2 linked regions of the Lonchura striata genome follow. The main gene of each other region encodes a partner of the protein of the gene in region 2 in a complex. Links are inferred from orthologs where the notes say so. Each region holds a gene or a part of one and is shown on either strand. Other genes may lie near its edges.

Region 1 (6,925 bases), on a different chromosome or scaffold from region 2:
CAGCCCCACTGCAGGGTTGCTCAGGGGACAGCCAGCCCCACTGCGGGGTTGCTCAGGGGACAGCCAGCCCCTCTGCAGAGCTGCTCAGGGGACAGCCAGCCCCACTGCGGGGACAGGGCTGCTCAGAGCAGGGCAGAGGGACACAGGCACTGCCCAGCGTGGCCCCAATAATGGGGCAGCAGCAGGACAAGGCTCCGTGGAAGGTGGCCCCACATCAGGGCAGCAGCAGGTCCCACCTTCATCTCTGGAGTAGTAGATGGAGTTCACAGCCATCTCCAGGGCCGGTGACTCCCCGCTGCCCTCTCGGCCATACTGTGACACCACGCCATCGCTGGGGCCATTTCCCTGGCAAAGGAGAGCAGATCAGACCCAGAGTTCTCTCCCCACATCAGCCCCCAGGCCTGGGCCCCCACACAGCCTGGCTGTCCTGCACCCTGCCCACAGAATCCCCTGAGCCCACACGAACACGGGCAGGCAGCACAGGGGGGACTTCCCTGAGCTCCTGGCAGCGCCCTGTCCCCAGCTGGGCTCTGCGCCCGCACAGCTGCCCCCAAAGCATGGCACAACCCAAACACACCCTCCTGGCCATACCATGCCAAGCACTGATGGCCTGGTGACACGGGGGTCTGTGTCCTGTCCAGGAGGAGGGGGAGCCTGCAGAGGGGAAGCGAGCGCTTCTATTTTAGCACAAGCAGAACTGAAAACGCAACACACGCTGTCAGCAACTGTGTCCCAGCAGCAGGGCCCCCAAAGGGCCTGGGGCAGGACACAAACCCTCGGTGCTTTCAGAGATCCTCCTGCAGAAAAGCTGCTCACTAATGACAGCCCTGTGCAGCTGGCACAAGGGAAGCTCAGTGTGCGGAGCGCTTCCTTGGGGTTGCAGCAGAGGGTGCATCTCGCAGAAGGCAAGTGCCACAGCTTCAGTTTAAAACTCACACACATTAGCTTCTTAACAAGAAGCACAAACAAGGCCCAAGAAAAGGGCCATCAAGTGTTTGGGTCCTCAAACTTCATGTCCTGAGAGCTGATAGCAGTAGCTCCTCCCCAGCTAAAGCATCCAATGCAGCAGGGCTCCAGCCTGGGACTGGAAAGCCAAGGGCCACCAAATCTGCCAAAGCCTCTAAGTCTCCATTTGACTGCACTTCTCCTCATCTTCAAAAGGAAATTCAAAAATTTGTTCTGAACTCCAAATGACCTCTGGCTCCAGCTCCCAAGCTGCTGGACCCTGCATACCCTCTGGGCAGGAACATGACACAAAATCACATTCTCCATGCAGATGATCAGCAATCCCAGCTGAGGATCTCCAGCTCCGTGCAGAGAGGCCATGTGCAGCTCTTGTGCCTCCTGCTCCAGGTCAGGCCTTTTTAAAACACATGCCAGCCTTGCAGCCTTTTGCTCACAACCTCCCAAACTTCCAGCTTGCTTCTGGACCTCAGGCACACAAAATCACGGTTCCTGTGTGGGGGCTGGGAGCTCCAGGCAGGTGCTCCCTGGCCTGGCCACCACCCTGCCCCACTCCAAGGTTGTGTTGTGCCCCCAGCTCAGCCCCACAAGCCTCTTTCAAGGCAAAAGCTGCAACCCTGACTGCACCAGGCAGCACAGAGACATTTCCACCAGTGCCTCCCAGCCCTCCCAGCCCTGGCATTTGTTGCACAGACACACCTGGCTGGGCAGGAGACTGCAGGGAAACGTTCAAGGGACAAAGGTAAATCACACTCAGGGGAGATCCTGGGATCACCAGCTGTGCACCTCCTGCCAGGCAGCCCTGCCCAGCACTCCAAGCCTGGAATCAGCTGAAGCCAAACCCAGGCCTCTGCAAACACCTCCCAGGAGGGAGAGCCAGCGCTGTGGAGCTGGGCAGGCGTGGGCTGCTGTCCCAGAGGGCACAGAAAACCACACTTGTCAGGGTGTTTTGTTTTGCCAGGGTTCGTGGTCTGATCTTTTGTCCGTCTTGTGCACTTTGTTATTGGTATTGCTGTGGTTACATCCCATTGCTGTTTCTAGCACACTGCCCAAACAGCCCTGGCTGCTCACACTGCCTGGCCAGCAGCTCCAGGGGCTGCAGAGGACAGGGGGCTGGGCAGCTCTTCCAGAGCCCCAGCACAGATGGGGTGCCCACAGCAGCAGCCAGGAGCGAGCCCCAAGGCTGGGAAAGGGGGTTCCAGGTCCTGGAACCAGCCAGGTCCCGCAACGCTCTCGGGGCTCCGCTTCCGCCGCTGTGGCAGGAAAGGCAGCAATGGTTGGGCCAAGAGGAAACGCTCCTCGGCCATCAGCTGGCCTCCTGCCAGCTCTCTGCACCCGGCAAGAAGAGCCCGACTTGAAATTCGGAGCCACAACCTCGAATTATTGACAGCACGCCGAGAAAGTCCCACAAACCACAGCAGGAGCCATCGAGAGGGCACCGGAGTGCCAGGGCCGGGCACTGAGACCACAGGCGCTGCCTCAGGATGTCCTTCCCTGGGCTGCCAGGTGGGAAGGCGTCCCCCCCACAACACCGATGTCCTTGTGCCACCCTGCACGGCCCTCCCAGCCCGGGGCTCACCGGGAAGGCGATCTGGCACAGCTTCGCCACCCACTCCTCGCTCTGCTGCTTCTCGGCCGCGAAGAGGAAGCTGCGGTCGCGGGTCTCCAGGCGGAAGGTGGCGGTGCCGGCGCGGGGGCCGCCCTCGCCCACCGGGGCCACGCTGGTGCAGTCGCTGAGCCGCACCACGGTGCGGGCGAGCCGCCGGGTGCCCGCCCGCCCGGCCGCCGACGGCTCCTTGCAGTCGAACACCTCGAGGCGAGCCACGCCGTGCTGGCTGGCGGGGTAAAGCGCGGACCAGCCGCGCTTCCAGCGCTGCGGGCAGCGCGGTCACACCGCGCCCGGGCCGCTCCCCGCACGGGGCCCCGGAGCGCAGCCGGGCCCGGGGGAGGGGAGGAAGGGAAGAAGGGAAGGAAGAGGGAGAGGGAGGAAGGGATTCCAGGACCCACCTTGGTGCCGAACTTGTGGCTGTGCTGCACCAGCAGCGGCCCCTCCATGGCCGGCGGCTCCATCCCCGAGCGCTTCCGCCCGCGCCGCTGGGGCGGGGACCGGGGCGGGGACCGGGTGGGGACCGGGCGGGGACGAGCGTGTCAGGGGCGGGGTGTGCTGGCGTGTGTGCGTGTGAACATGTGTGTGAACGCGTGTGTGCGTGTGAACACGTGTGTGAACGCGTGTGTGCACGCCTGGGTGTGTGCACACACGTGTGGCACAGCCGTGTGCTCTCCATGGGGACGGGAAGACGCGCTCGGATGGGCTGAGGTTAAGCCAGGGCAATGTGGGGAGTGGACAGCGGAGAGGTGAGGTTTCACAGCACAGGGGAAAGGAGTGATGTCTTTGACAGGAGAGGAAATGAAGGGGAGGACTAGAGGCTGCTTACCTCAAGCACATAGTTCAGGAAAATCGTGGAATGGGCAGGTGCTCGCAGAGAGAGCAGAGAAGGCGAAGAATCACAGCAAACACCTGTGTATGCACAGCCGTGCACGATTTCATTCTCTGTCTTTGTGGATGGGGCAATGCTATCCATATCTCCCTGCCTCCAACCATGCCATGTGCCTGGGCACCAAAGCCACTCCAGGGGCACCAAGCTGCTCCCAGAACTGTCCCTGCCACTGCTGGCCACTCCAGTGTGCCCCAGAAGCCTCCTGCAGGGCCAGGCTTGAGTCCAGCATTCCCAGCTGCAGGTGGGACAGGTGCTGGCTGCGAGGCAAGGAACAAGGACAAGCACAGCCTGTGCTCAGCACACCCCAGCGTGGATGAACCAGCCTGGTGGCACTCTGATGGCACTGTGACCCTGCCAGGTCACTGCTGGTCAGACACTCTTGGGCTTCTTGCTGCTTTGATGGCCTAGGCATCATGACTCGGTTTCCTGACACAATATAAACCTGCAAAGGGAAGAGGGAGAAGCCACAGATCCTGGTTTTCCAGGCTCTGATCCCCATTTCTCCACCTGTGGTTTTGATGAAACGGCTGCAGGTGGGGAGAGCTGCTGAGGGGAGCTTTGCAGTGCCTGGATGGATGCAGGGGTGACCCTCTGCACTGTCCTGGCATCACCCTTCACATGTTCACGGTACCATAATTGTGCTGGCGTCCTGGTTTAGGAATGACATTCCCCAATTAAGTGCTCACATTGAAACATCCCAGACCAATTGCTCACAGCCCTACCCTCCCCCGAGGCAGGATGGAGAGGAGAATTGGAGGCACAAAAAGTAAAGATCACACAGGCTGAGATAAGAACAGTGTGCTAGAAACAGCAAGGGGATGTAACCACAGCAATACCAATAACAAAGTGCACAAGACAGACGAAAGATCAGACCGCAAACCCTGGCAAAACAATGACATCAGCAAACAGGCCCAGTGGTCTGAAAAAGAACAAGATTACTCGGCGGTGTCAAACAGCCCGGGCCGTGTGTGGGCAGAGCTCTGTGCTGTGCAGCTGCAGGACAGGGTGGCAGAGACAGCCACGAGCCAGACGAGCGTCAGCAGCTCAGAGCAGGGCGGCACAAGGCAAACAGCCCGGCACAGGCAGCAGCTGAGTCCCCTGCGAGGCACAAGGGCCGCCCGAGGGCACGGACCGACCTGCAGAGGCATGGCACCCTCGGCCTGGCATGAGGGTGTGGCCAGGGCAGGTGCCAGCTCGGTGGTGAACACAAGGATAATGACACCCCACCCCTCGGGAACAACTCTGCGGCTGTGGGGCTCCCGGGAAGCTTCAAAGCCGGGAGAAGGGATTGCTCCACCGGGAGGACCCCCGCAGTTGGGGACGTGGCGGACCGGAGCTGCCGTGGACACCGGAGGCGGCGGCGGCTGCAGCGCCGGGGGCTCCGGTCCGCGGGCTCCGAGACTGCGGCCGGAGCATCGCCTCGCAGGGGCTCCGCACGGATTTCGGGGACCCCCCCACCCCGCTCCGCCCCGCGGCCCGGCCCCACCCGCGGGGCCGCCCCCTGCGCTGCGGCGAGCGCGTCCCCGCCGGGGAGGGCGGGCGGTGGAGCCGCCCCTGCGCGGAGCCCTCCGCGCACCCTCCGTCCCCCGCAAACATTCCATCCCTCCGCGCATCCTTCCGTCCCCCTGCGCACCTGCCATCCCCTCCCGCGAACACCTCATCCCTCCCCGCGCACCCTCCATCCCCCCGCGCATCGCTCCGCGCTCCCTCCACCTCTGCGCGCCCTCCGTCCTTCCGCGCACTCCTCCATCCCTCCGCGCACTCCTCCATCCCCCGCGCATCTCTCCGCGCGTTCCTCCGCGCACTCCTCCATCCCTCCGCGCATCTCTCCCTCCACCTCTGCGCGCCCTCCGTCCTTCCGCGCACTCCTCCATCCCTCGGTGCATCTCTCCCCTCCATCCCTCCGCGCACTCCTCCATCCCCCCGCTCCCCCTCCATCCCTCCGCGCATCTCTCCCCTCGTTCCTCCGCGCATCTCTCCCCTCGTTCCTCCGCGCACTCCTCCATCCCCCCGCTCCCCCTCCATCCCCCCGCGCATCTCTCCCCTCGTTCCTCCGCGCACTCCTCCATCCCTCCGCGCATCTCTCCGTCCCCCCCCGCGCACCCTGCGGCCGGCGGGGCCGCTCCTGCGCGGGGATGGCGGAGCGGCCGCGCTTCCTCTGCGGCGTGGTGGAAGGTAAGTCCCTCCGGGGCCGCGACTGGGGCCGGTGCCCGACTCGCCCGGGCATTGCAGGGGCTGTTCCGACCCACCCGAAGTGAACCGGGCTCGGGAAGGGCCCCAGGCTGTGGGAGAGGTGGGAGTGGGGCCCCATCTCTGCCAGGGGCCTGGACCAGCACCTCTGGGATGCTCCCAGCTCTCCCCAGAGAGCCCTGCAGCCACCCCAGCAGAATCAAAGCCCCCAGAGGGACACAGGGACCCTCTGCTCGGCCTCCAGAGCTCTGCAAGGGGTTCTTGGCTGCCCTGGACTCGGGGCAGCTTCCCGGTGTGTCCCCCCTGCCCACCCTACCCGTGGGACAGCTGTGCAGGACCCGTGGCCAGAGCCGGCCAGGGAGAGCTCTGTGCTTCTCCCTCCCCACATCCCCAACTCCCTCTGGAGCTGAGCACCCACCAGGCAGAATCATCTGCCCTTCTGCTGGCAGCACTGTGAGGGGCACTGCCCTCTGCCTCACCTGAGAGGGTGCAGGAGCACCGTGCAAACAAATGTAAAATAAACAGGAAATGCAGGGGTGGAGAAGCTGACATGAGTCAGACGTGAATCATTGATATAGTAGAGCTGACCTGGGGAAGAGGGCAGGGATGATGCTGGCAAATCCATTCCAGGAGAACACTGCTGGCAGGGTGTGTGCAGCACTCAGAGGCCTCCTTGCCAGCCCACGCCAGCTCACAGCAACATGTGCTGTGAAAGTGTCACTTGCAGGGGCCATACAGGGACTCTGGGGACCTCGCTGGGATCTCAAAATAGCAAATTATTTACCACAGAAATAACTTTTTTTGAGGTGAAATGTTTGCTGGGATTCTCAAGTGGCCACAAATTTTGGCACAGTGGGGTGTGTGACCATAGCAAGGTGACCATATATTATTTCAAAGTACGTGGAATAACCATGTAGGTGTTCAGGCAGGTAGAAAATCTGTCTGCAGAGAGAAGACAGATGGAGAGTGGGTGTTGTTGTGGTGCAAGCCCCCTCACCATTGCCCAGGACCGGTGCTGGGGGTTGCAGGGTGGGCTCCTGCCAAAGGGAGCCAAGGGAATGGGGGCAGATGAGCTCTGGGACACTCAGACACTTTGGGAAATGCAGGTGACACTGGCCAGACATGGAGAGCTGGTCCTTTCTCCCAGCTTGATGGAGTCAGTGCAGCCTGCCCCTGTGCACCACCCAGTTTTGGGAATGCTGTCATTTCCCAAGTGTCTGCTCCCCTTGGCCCCGGCTGCTGGAAATTGCAGTGATTGACTCCAAAGTTGCCCA
Region 2 (7,173 bases):
CACATTCAACAGAAGTTTTATATCACAGCCAATAAAATAGAAAAAAAGTTTGAATAATCTGCATTCAAGAGCACATTGCTGAAGTAGAAACCTTATTATTTCCATTAGATTTCCCTTTCAATTTTAAAAAATTTGCATAGTGTAATGCTTACAAACTGCGTTTTATTCACTGAAAAGAAATTATCTTGTCAAAAGAATCCCCTTTAATTACAAAAATTACTTTCCAGACAAGACAATCCTACCAAGTCTTTCCCACAGGCACTCTTTTCTACATTTAACTGAACAAGGTCCTACTCTGATATCACTGAGCTTTCAGAATCAAAACTCCAGCACCAAACAGCCAGGCAGCATGACAAGCAAGTTAACACCCTGAAGTCCTGCAACTGACAAGATGCAAAACTTTTTCAAAAGACAGGTGCACACTCCATAATAAAACCCTGCCTTTCTTTTAATTGGTAAAAGAGACAGAAGCCTTAATTTGAGAAGAAACATTCCTTTTATTTTTGCTGGTTTTAGGCTACTGCACGTTAAGGACAGTGCATGCAGGAGACTCACACGTTGCCTGTGGTGCAGAAGCACCAAGGCTGTGCCTTTCTGCCTCAGAACAAATGGGCCAGTGTGCTTTATGCAGCCCACCAATACAAAATAACCAAACCTAATCCCTTCAACTAACAGCACGCTCACGGATTGCCCACGCCAGCTCACTCAGTAAAATGCCTCCGGGTTTGTTGAGAGCACGCGTTCTATGAACTACGGCAGTTTTAACCTCTCCAAAACCTTTCTATAAACCAAAGATGTACCAATAGCAATTGAGTGCAAGGGTATCCCTGCAGGTTAACTTTGGGTGGCAAGCCTCTATGATGAGGTCTTGCCCAGCTGAAAGAGATTCCTTCACACCACCTGGCAAGAGCACGCCAGTTATCACTGAAGAGACCCTGGCTTTCCCCCAGGATGGAGCCCACTGAAGTTTCACAGTGTTCTCCACGATAAGAATGCATCATCACTCCTGAGACAGCTGGGTTCCTAAACTGGAACTCTGTGCATGCAGGGGCTTTGCTAGTACCTCCAAGACACAATGCTGCAAACTCAGCTCTTACTGCATAAAAGCTAATTAGTGTCACACACCTCAACAATGTGAAGCAGTGTTTCTCTATCAACAGACACCCATAGAATATTGCTATGAATAATTCCTGAAATAACTATGAATACAATGACCCTAACTATAAATATAATGACCCAAAGCATAAATGTACACAACATTCCTTCCCAACAATTTTAGCAGAAAATAAGGAGAACCAAGTATTAAGCCTCAGTAGTCAAAGCTGCGAGCATAAGCAAAACATTTTTAACTTTAAGTATAAACAAGCAGTATACAAAAAAAAAATCTACTTGGCAGCCTACTCTACTCAAATAAATTAGCTCCTATAATATTCCTCCAAATATATTTTTGGCAGATCCAAAAGTTAACAATTTATGGCTACATTTAGTAATAAAAAGTCTTTGAAACTATTTCCAACTGCTGAGGTCTGATATTTAGGAAGGTTTAGATACCTGTCTTCAGTAAAGAGAACCCCTTTCCCATCTGAGAGTTTCAGAATGAAATTCATGTAAAGTTGTACAACTAAAAGTAAAATCAAATGGTGGTCCAACTGAAAGGGAAACGCTGCAAGAGGGGAAAAAAAAAAAAAAAAAAGCCATTTGAGAATGCAGCTCCAGAGTTCCTAACACCAGCTAGTTCAGGATGTGCAATAATCTGGGGTAACTCAGCATGAATTGAAGAAAACTCATCTGTCCAGCTTAAACAGAAATCACTGAAAATCATCTTCAAGCAAATGCATGTGAATCATTTTGGCTAATGAAAAGATAACCCTCAAGCCGAGAAACTTACGTAAATTACATTTCTCCTAATTCTGCCAAAAAACATTAAAGAAAATGGATTTGCCAAAGATAAAAGCAAAGTAGGCATGATAGATCATCCATTAGCAATACAAGTATGGCTAATTCTTCCTGACAGTGAAATGTCTTGGGATGCAACCCACTTTATTTTTTTTTTTACTAGATGAGTGTGTTTAGATGCTGTATATCCTACACATTTTATACCCTTATATCATAGACTTCACTACTAGTGAGATTTTACAAAAATCAGGCCTTAACAACAACCTATTAAGAAGAGAAAACATATGGGCAACTTAAAGTATTTCAGTGTAGTAAAAAAAAATTAAAAATTAAATAGGAGCTTTATAATATCTGCAAGTATTGCAAGTAGTTTAAAATGGTACAAATTAATACAGTTAATCTGAATTAATAACAAGAAGGAAAAAGTCACATGCTTATGAGGAATCACAAGGGCAGAATTAATATTGCACTCTACTCACTGTTAGAACAACTAGTGAAGTAGTTTGGGCTTTACTTTTTTCATAAATGCATTTCTGACGTGCAAGGTTGTACTGCATTCTCTAGCATACAACTTTTATTTATTCATGTAAACGTCAGAAATCCATCAGCAAACAAAGCCATATGGAAGAAAAAGAGATATAATGGATTTTCTGTTTGCTTTAGAAACTTGACATCTGCGGATAGCATCATCCAACTTACAATGCAATCACTATTCGTATTCTGGTCATTTTCATTTACCAATCCAAAACGCATTTTATCTAATGATACAAAAAGCTCTGGGAATAGGATAGCAGAGAAGAAATAATGTTTTAGAAAGTTAAAATGGGAATATACTTTAATATTTTCCCTTTCACATCATAAATTCAGAGAAAAGCAAACTCACATCTGTTCTAACTTAGCTTTTAAAAAACGAAGAAAACGCATCAGGATTATTTATATCTTGTCTGTATTTGTGGCAAGATTTTCGGGGCCGGAGCGAGCCGCGGGTGCCACCTGAGCTCCGCCAAGTTCCCGGGGGCCGGGCTCGCGGTACTTACCCCCGCAGAGCAGGAGGAGCCCGGCTGTCCGCGCCGCCGAGCGCATCTTCCCCGCGCGGTGCGGCCCCGCCTCGGCGCTCCGGGCGGCACCGGCCGGGCTGCCGGACGGTCCGCGGGTCTCAGTCGGGCCGGCCCATGGCCCGGGCCGGCGGCAGCACGGAGCCGGGCGCGGACGGGACAGCCCGCGCCGGGATGCTTCTCCGCCGCTCCTTCTCTCGGTCCTCCTGGCTCCGGTGCCGCCCCGCCGCCACCGGCCGGGAAGAAAGCGCCTCGTTCCCTCGGCGGTGCCGGCGCCTCTCGGGCTCTGCGGGGAGAGCGAAGTCAGGAGCGAAGCCTCCGCTCCGCCGCGCCCGGCGCCGAACCCCCCGCGCTGCCCGGGCGGCGGCACCGCCCGGCTCCGGCCAGCCCCCGGCCCCTCCTCCGCGGCCGCCGGGCCGCTCTGCCCGGGCCGCCCCGCCCCGCCCCGCCCGCGGAGCCTCCGCCGAGGGGCGGCCCCGCCCCGCGCATCCCCGCGGGCAAGGTGCGGGGCCGGGCACCGGCCCGCGTCCCCCGGCCCCGCGGGCAGCAGCGGGGAGCGGGCGGCAGGAGCGGGAGGCGGCGGCCTGAGGGAGAAGACCGGCGAGCCGCGCAAACACACCAGGTGCGAGACAAAGCGGGGACAGGCGCTGCGGCACCAGGATGTGCCCGAGTGGCCGTCTTCCCCGTCAGCCGAAACACATTAAACGTGTTGAATAATTAATCCTTAGGAGAGGAGACAGTTTTTGCTTGATGGTAGGAGGATGCTGTAGAAGATGTGCGCTACCTGGCAGGCAACCAAAGTAACCCGGAACGCGCGCGTCCCGCTGAGCGGCGAAACGCCACTTTTAAACCGCAAGCGGGAGGGGGTGGGGGGCGGGAAACCTAACCGAGCCAAAGCTGAAATACGCTGTGACAGGTCGGGCTGGGCGAGAAAAGCACTCCGAAAAAGCCGCCGCTCACAAACGCCGCCCCGAGCCCCGCCGCCGGCGCTGCCTCCGCCCGGCGGCCCCGCCGCAGCGCCCGGCCCGCCCGCGCCCTGCCCCGGCTGCCGCGGCCGCGCCGGAGCCGCGGGCAGCGCGGGATGGGCGGGCACAGCCTCCCGACACCCGCGGGCGCAGCCTCCCGACACCCGCGGGCACAGCCTCCCGACACCGACCCCCGCGGGCGCAGCCTCCCGACACCCGCGGGCACAGCCTCCCGACACCCGCGGGCACAGCCTCCCGACACCGACACCCGCGGGCACAGCCTCCCGACCCCCGCGGGCACAGCCTCCCGACCCCCGCGGGCGCAGCCTCCCGACCCCCGCGGGCACAGCCTCCCGACCCCCGCGGGCACCGCGCCCGCGCAGCCTCTGGAGGGGCCACGGCGACTGCCGCCTGACACAAACCCTGCCCCGCTCCCCGCACCTCTCCTGTCACGGCATCTTCAACCTGCCGAGGAGATATTTATTTTCTGCTCCTCTCCCGAAAGACGATGCTGCTTCCACACAGCCGCGCTGCTCCAGAGATCTGGTCGTCAGGATTCAGACACAGATCAGCAGCTACAGTGTTCGGCTTCACCAGCCTTCACACTCTGAAACGCCCAAGCAAGGTCAAGTAGACACACAGAGTAGATAACCCGATGCCGTTGCACCTAGCAAGAATTGCTGTAGATTATTTAAATATAAGTCAAAAAAGAAATTCTCTCTCTAGGTTAGTAAGGACTCTGCTTACAATACCTAGCACTTTAAGAGGCGAAGTACGAGAAATAGTACTACAGGAATAGTAAAAGAACTAACCTATTTTAACTTTTCTGTTAGATCTTCAAGTTAAATTTTCTTCCATGGTCTTCATAAGGCTTGGGAAAACAATAAGCCAAGTCAAAGCAACTAGAAGGGTAATAATGAATTTGAGATGAGCAATAATAACCACCATTAATTAATTGCTTTTGAAGCTGCCTGTCACATAGTATAAATTAAACTTTTGAGTACTTACTCACGTGTCAAGTGTTTGTGGGGCTTTTGCAAGTGCCTGAAAGAGGAAACTGAGAAGGTTACTTGGGAAGTCTTTGTGAACCAAATGAAAGTCTATAGCAAAGAAAGCAACACATAAAACATTAACATTAAATCAATGCTTTGTGGAGAAATGTCTTAGGTTAAGCTAAGCTTTATCTTAAATCATATTTAAAAGCTCGTGCAGTATACAAATCAATATTGATGCCATCTAAAATACACCACTATCATCTGCACTGATAAATGCCAGTTTTCATCCAGGACAAAGTGACTTCTTGGAAGAATTTCAAGGACTTACAATCTCTTCTGGCATCTCAGCAACTGAAGCCAAAGCTGTACTCTTCTGCCAGCTTCAGGCTCTGCTCCAGCACACTAAAACTGGTTTTAGATGCCATCATGTTCGTCATGCAAGGAACAGAAGTAAGGTCACCAGAATAATTTTTTCATTTGATTTCCAGGCTTTTAAGCTAAGCAGTTTTATGTGTTTTCAGAGAATTGTAGCTTACACACAACGCACCTGGAAAAAACTATCCAACTTGGATGAAATACGTGTGTCTTCTGTGTTCCAGCTACTGTGATCACGTCTCTCATGTTAATGTAGTCACCATTCTTCCTGAAACTGCTGTCCTTTATGTCAGCACTGGTATATTGAGGAAACATAGTTCAGCCAGGAATTATAGCCTACCATACAGAAGACAAAAATAACATAAGTGCAGCATCTCTCAAATCCTGGAAAAGCCTATCAAAATTGAGGCATTTTAAATTTTCCACTTGAAATTCAAACTTCAGGAGAAAAATCTTAAACCCTTCATGCCCAGCCTGGTTTCCACATCCCTGAAGAGGCCCAAGACAGGCTGTGAACCATCTGCCCTTGAGTTTACATGAGCCATACAAGCCTATAGCAACCATCTCTTTCCAACAGCTAACTTCTGCTGCACTATGCATAAAATACACTTCCACGTCATTCACTTGGTTTCTTTGTCTGAAGGCCTTTTGAAAACTGAATGAAAATCTGTGCTTGTAAATGGGGAATAAAAAAGCGAGGTGTCCTTAATTTCCCAGAAAAACTCAAGCTTTGCAGTGGCATCTCCCATCATTCTCCTAGCAGAAATACTTTGGAAGTAAATCAACACTTTCCTGCAGGCTAGTGCAATTGCAAAACTATGGCTCATACTCCTTCTCTTCCCCCCACCCCTCTGCTTTGACTCATTTATTTGGCACAGCAGGCTGAACTATTAAATTATTGTAGGTTTTCCTTTTATAAAGGCACCATGAGATGTCTCGATACAATAATGCTTCCTGAAACTGATGCTGATTGATAACTGTTTCTTGGTTTCATCACAAGTCTTATATCATGTTCATTTAGCATCAGGGCAGGACACTTCAGGACTCTTTCACCTTTCTATGTTTTCCAAACAGTCATGCACAAACACTGAAATATTTTCGGGTAAAACCCTTCCTAGGATATTGTATTTAAAATACAATTCTCGATCAGTTCAGGGCTTGAATACTTTTTTCCCCCATGCTATGAAGTTGGTTACTGTAGAAACTCAGTCTGAGATGCTGCTGTTGATCATGTAGGACAAAACTATTTTAAACCTACAAAAATGGGTTATTAACATTCAACACTATTTTGTGATCAAACTGTCAAGTCTTTCATACAGTTACAACTACGGTGGCACTAAACAGATATTCTTCCTGAGGTAGATCTAATAGTAAAAGGACAGATTAAACTTTGATCCTGACAGTGACAAAGAATTTATCTGCATGTCATACTTAAAGTTCTTATATACATGTTTTTCCACAATCCCTGGGCTTTATTTTCCTATCCTTCTGTCAATTTCTTTATTTTCTATTTGTTAGATATTGCTAACATATAAACTGCACAGTATCCATATTATCTATTTAATTTCTATCCACTTGAGAGCATCGAAAGAGCTAAAAGCTCTTTGTTTTCCCAAAATACTCATCCAAAAGTGCTATGAATTGGTCAGAAACACTGACTACCATGAAGAAGCAGCAAACTTGTGCTAGGAGATGTCTCCATCTTGGCACCTAGAGAAGGGAACCAAGAAGCTATTTCTTTCAAGTCAGGAGGAAAGAAGTCATACTTGTGGAGAAAGTGCTACAGACTGTCCTGATAACAAGAAGTTTAAGCAAGAGCTTAGGATTGTCCAATAAATAGATAGATTTCAAGGCAAAACCCAGATTCTTGTGAAAGCAGTGACTGGC

The links. The genes of interacting proteins can lie anywhere in the genome.
Region 1: the proteins of RET (region 2) and DOK1 are in contact, whole or in part, in a crystal structure (PDB 1UEF), measured with the Mus musculus proteins. The link is inferred for Lonchura striata from reciprocal best matches to the Homo sapiens genes RET and DOK1. Residues at the interface, in NP_033076.2 of Mus musculus: Thr1056, Trp1057, Ile1058, Glu1059, Asn1060, Leu1062, Tyr1063; in NP_034200.4 of Mus musculus: Tyr203, Thr204, Leu205, Leu206, Arg207, Arg208, Tyr209, Gly210, Arg211, Asp212, Ser217, Phe218, Glu219, Gly221, Arg222, Arg223, Thr230, Phe242, Glu246, Ile249, Gln252.

Annotation. Positions count from the first base shown.
Region 1 is NC_134606.1:2,361,574-2,368,498, reverse strand, and holds the start of DOK1 (docking protein 1), read right to left. Parts: upstream 3,034-6,925; coding exon 2,971-3,033; intron 2,837-2,970; coding exon 2,543-2,836; intron 346-2,542; coding exon 237-345; intron 1-236. Other genes in the region: protein O-GlcNAcase-like, read left to right, coding at 5,597-5,636. UniProt on the Homo sapiens protein: DOK proteins are enzymatically inert adaptor or scaffolding proteins. They provide a docking platform for the assembly of multimolecular signaling complexes. DOK1 appears to be a negative regulator of the insulin signaling pathway.
Region 2 is NC_134609.1:8,398,005-8,405,177, forward strand, and holds the start of RET (proto-oncogene tyrosine-protein kinase receptor Ret), read right to left. Parts: upstream 3,076-7,173; 5' UTR 2,980-3,075; coding exon 2,934-2,979; intron 1-2,933. UniProt on the Homo sapiens protein: Receptor tyrosine-protein kinase involved in numerous cellular mechanisms including cell proliferation, neuronal navigation, cell migration, and cell differentiation in response to glia cell line-derived growth family factors (GDNF, NRTN, ARTN, PSPN and GDF15).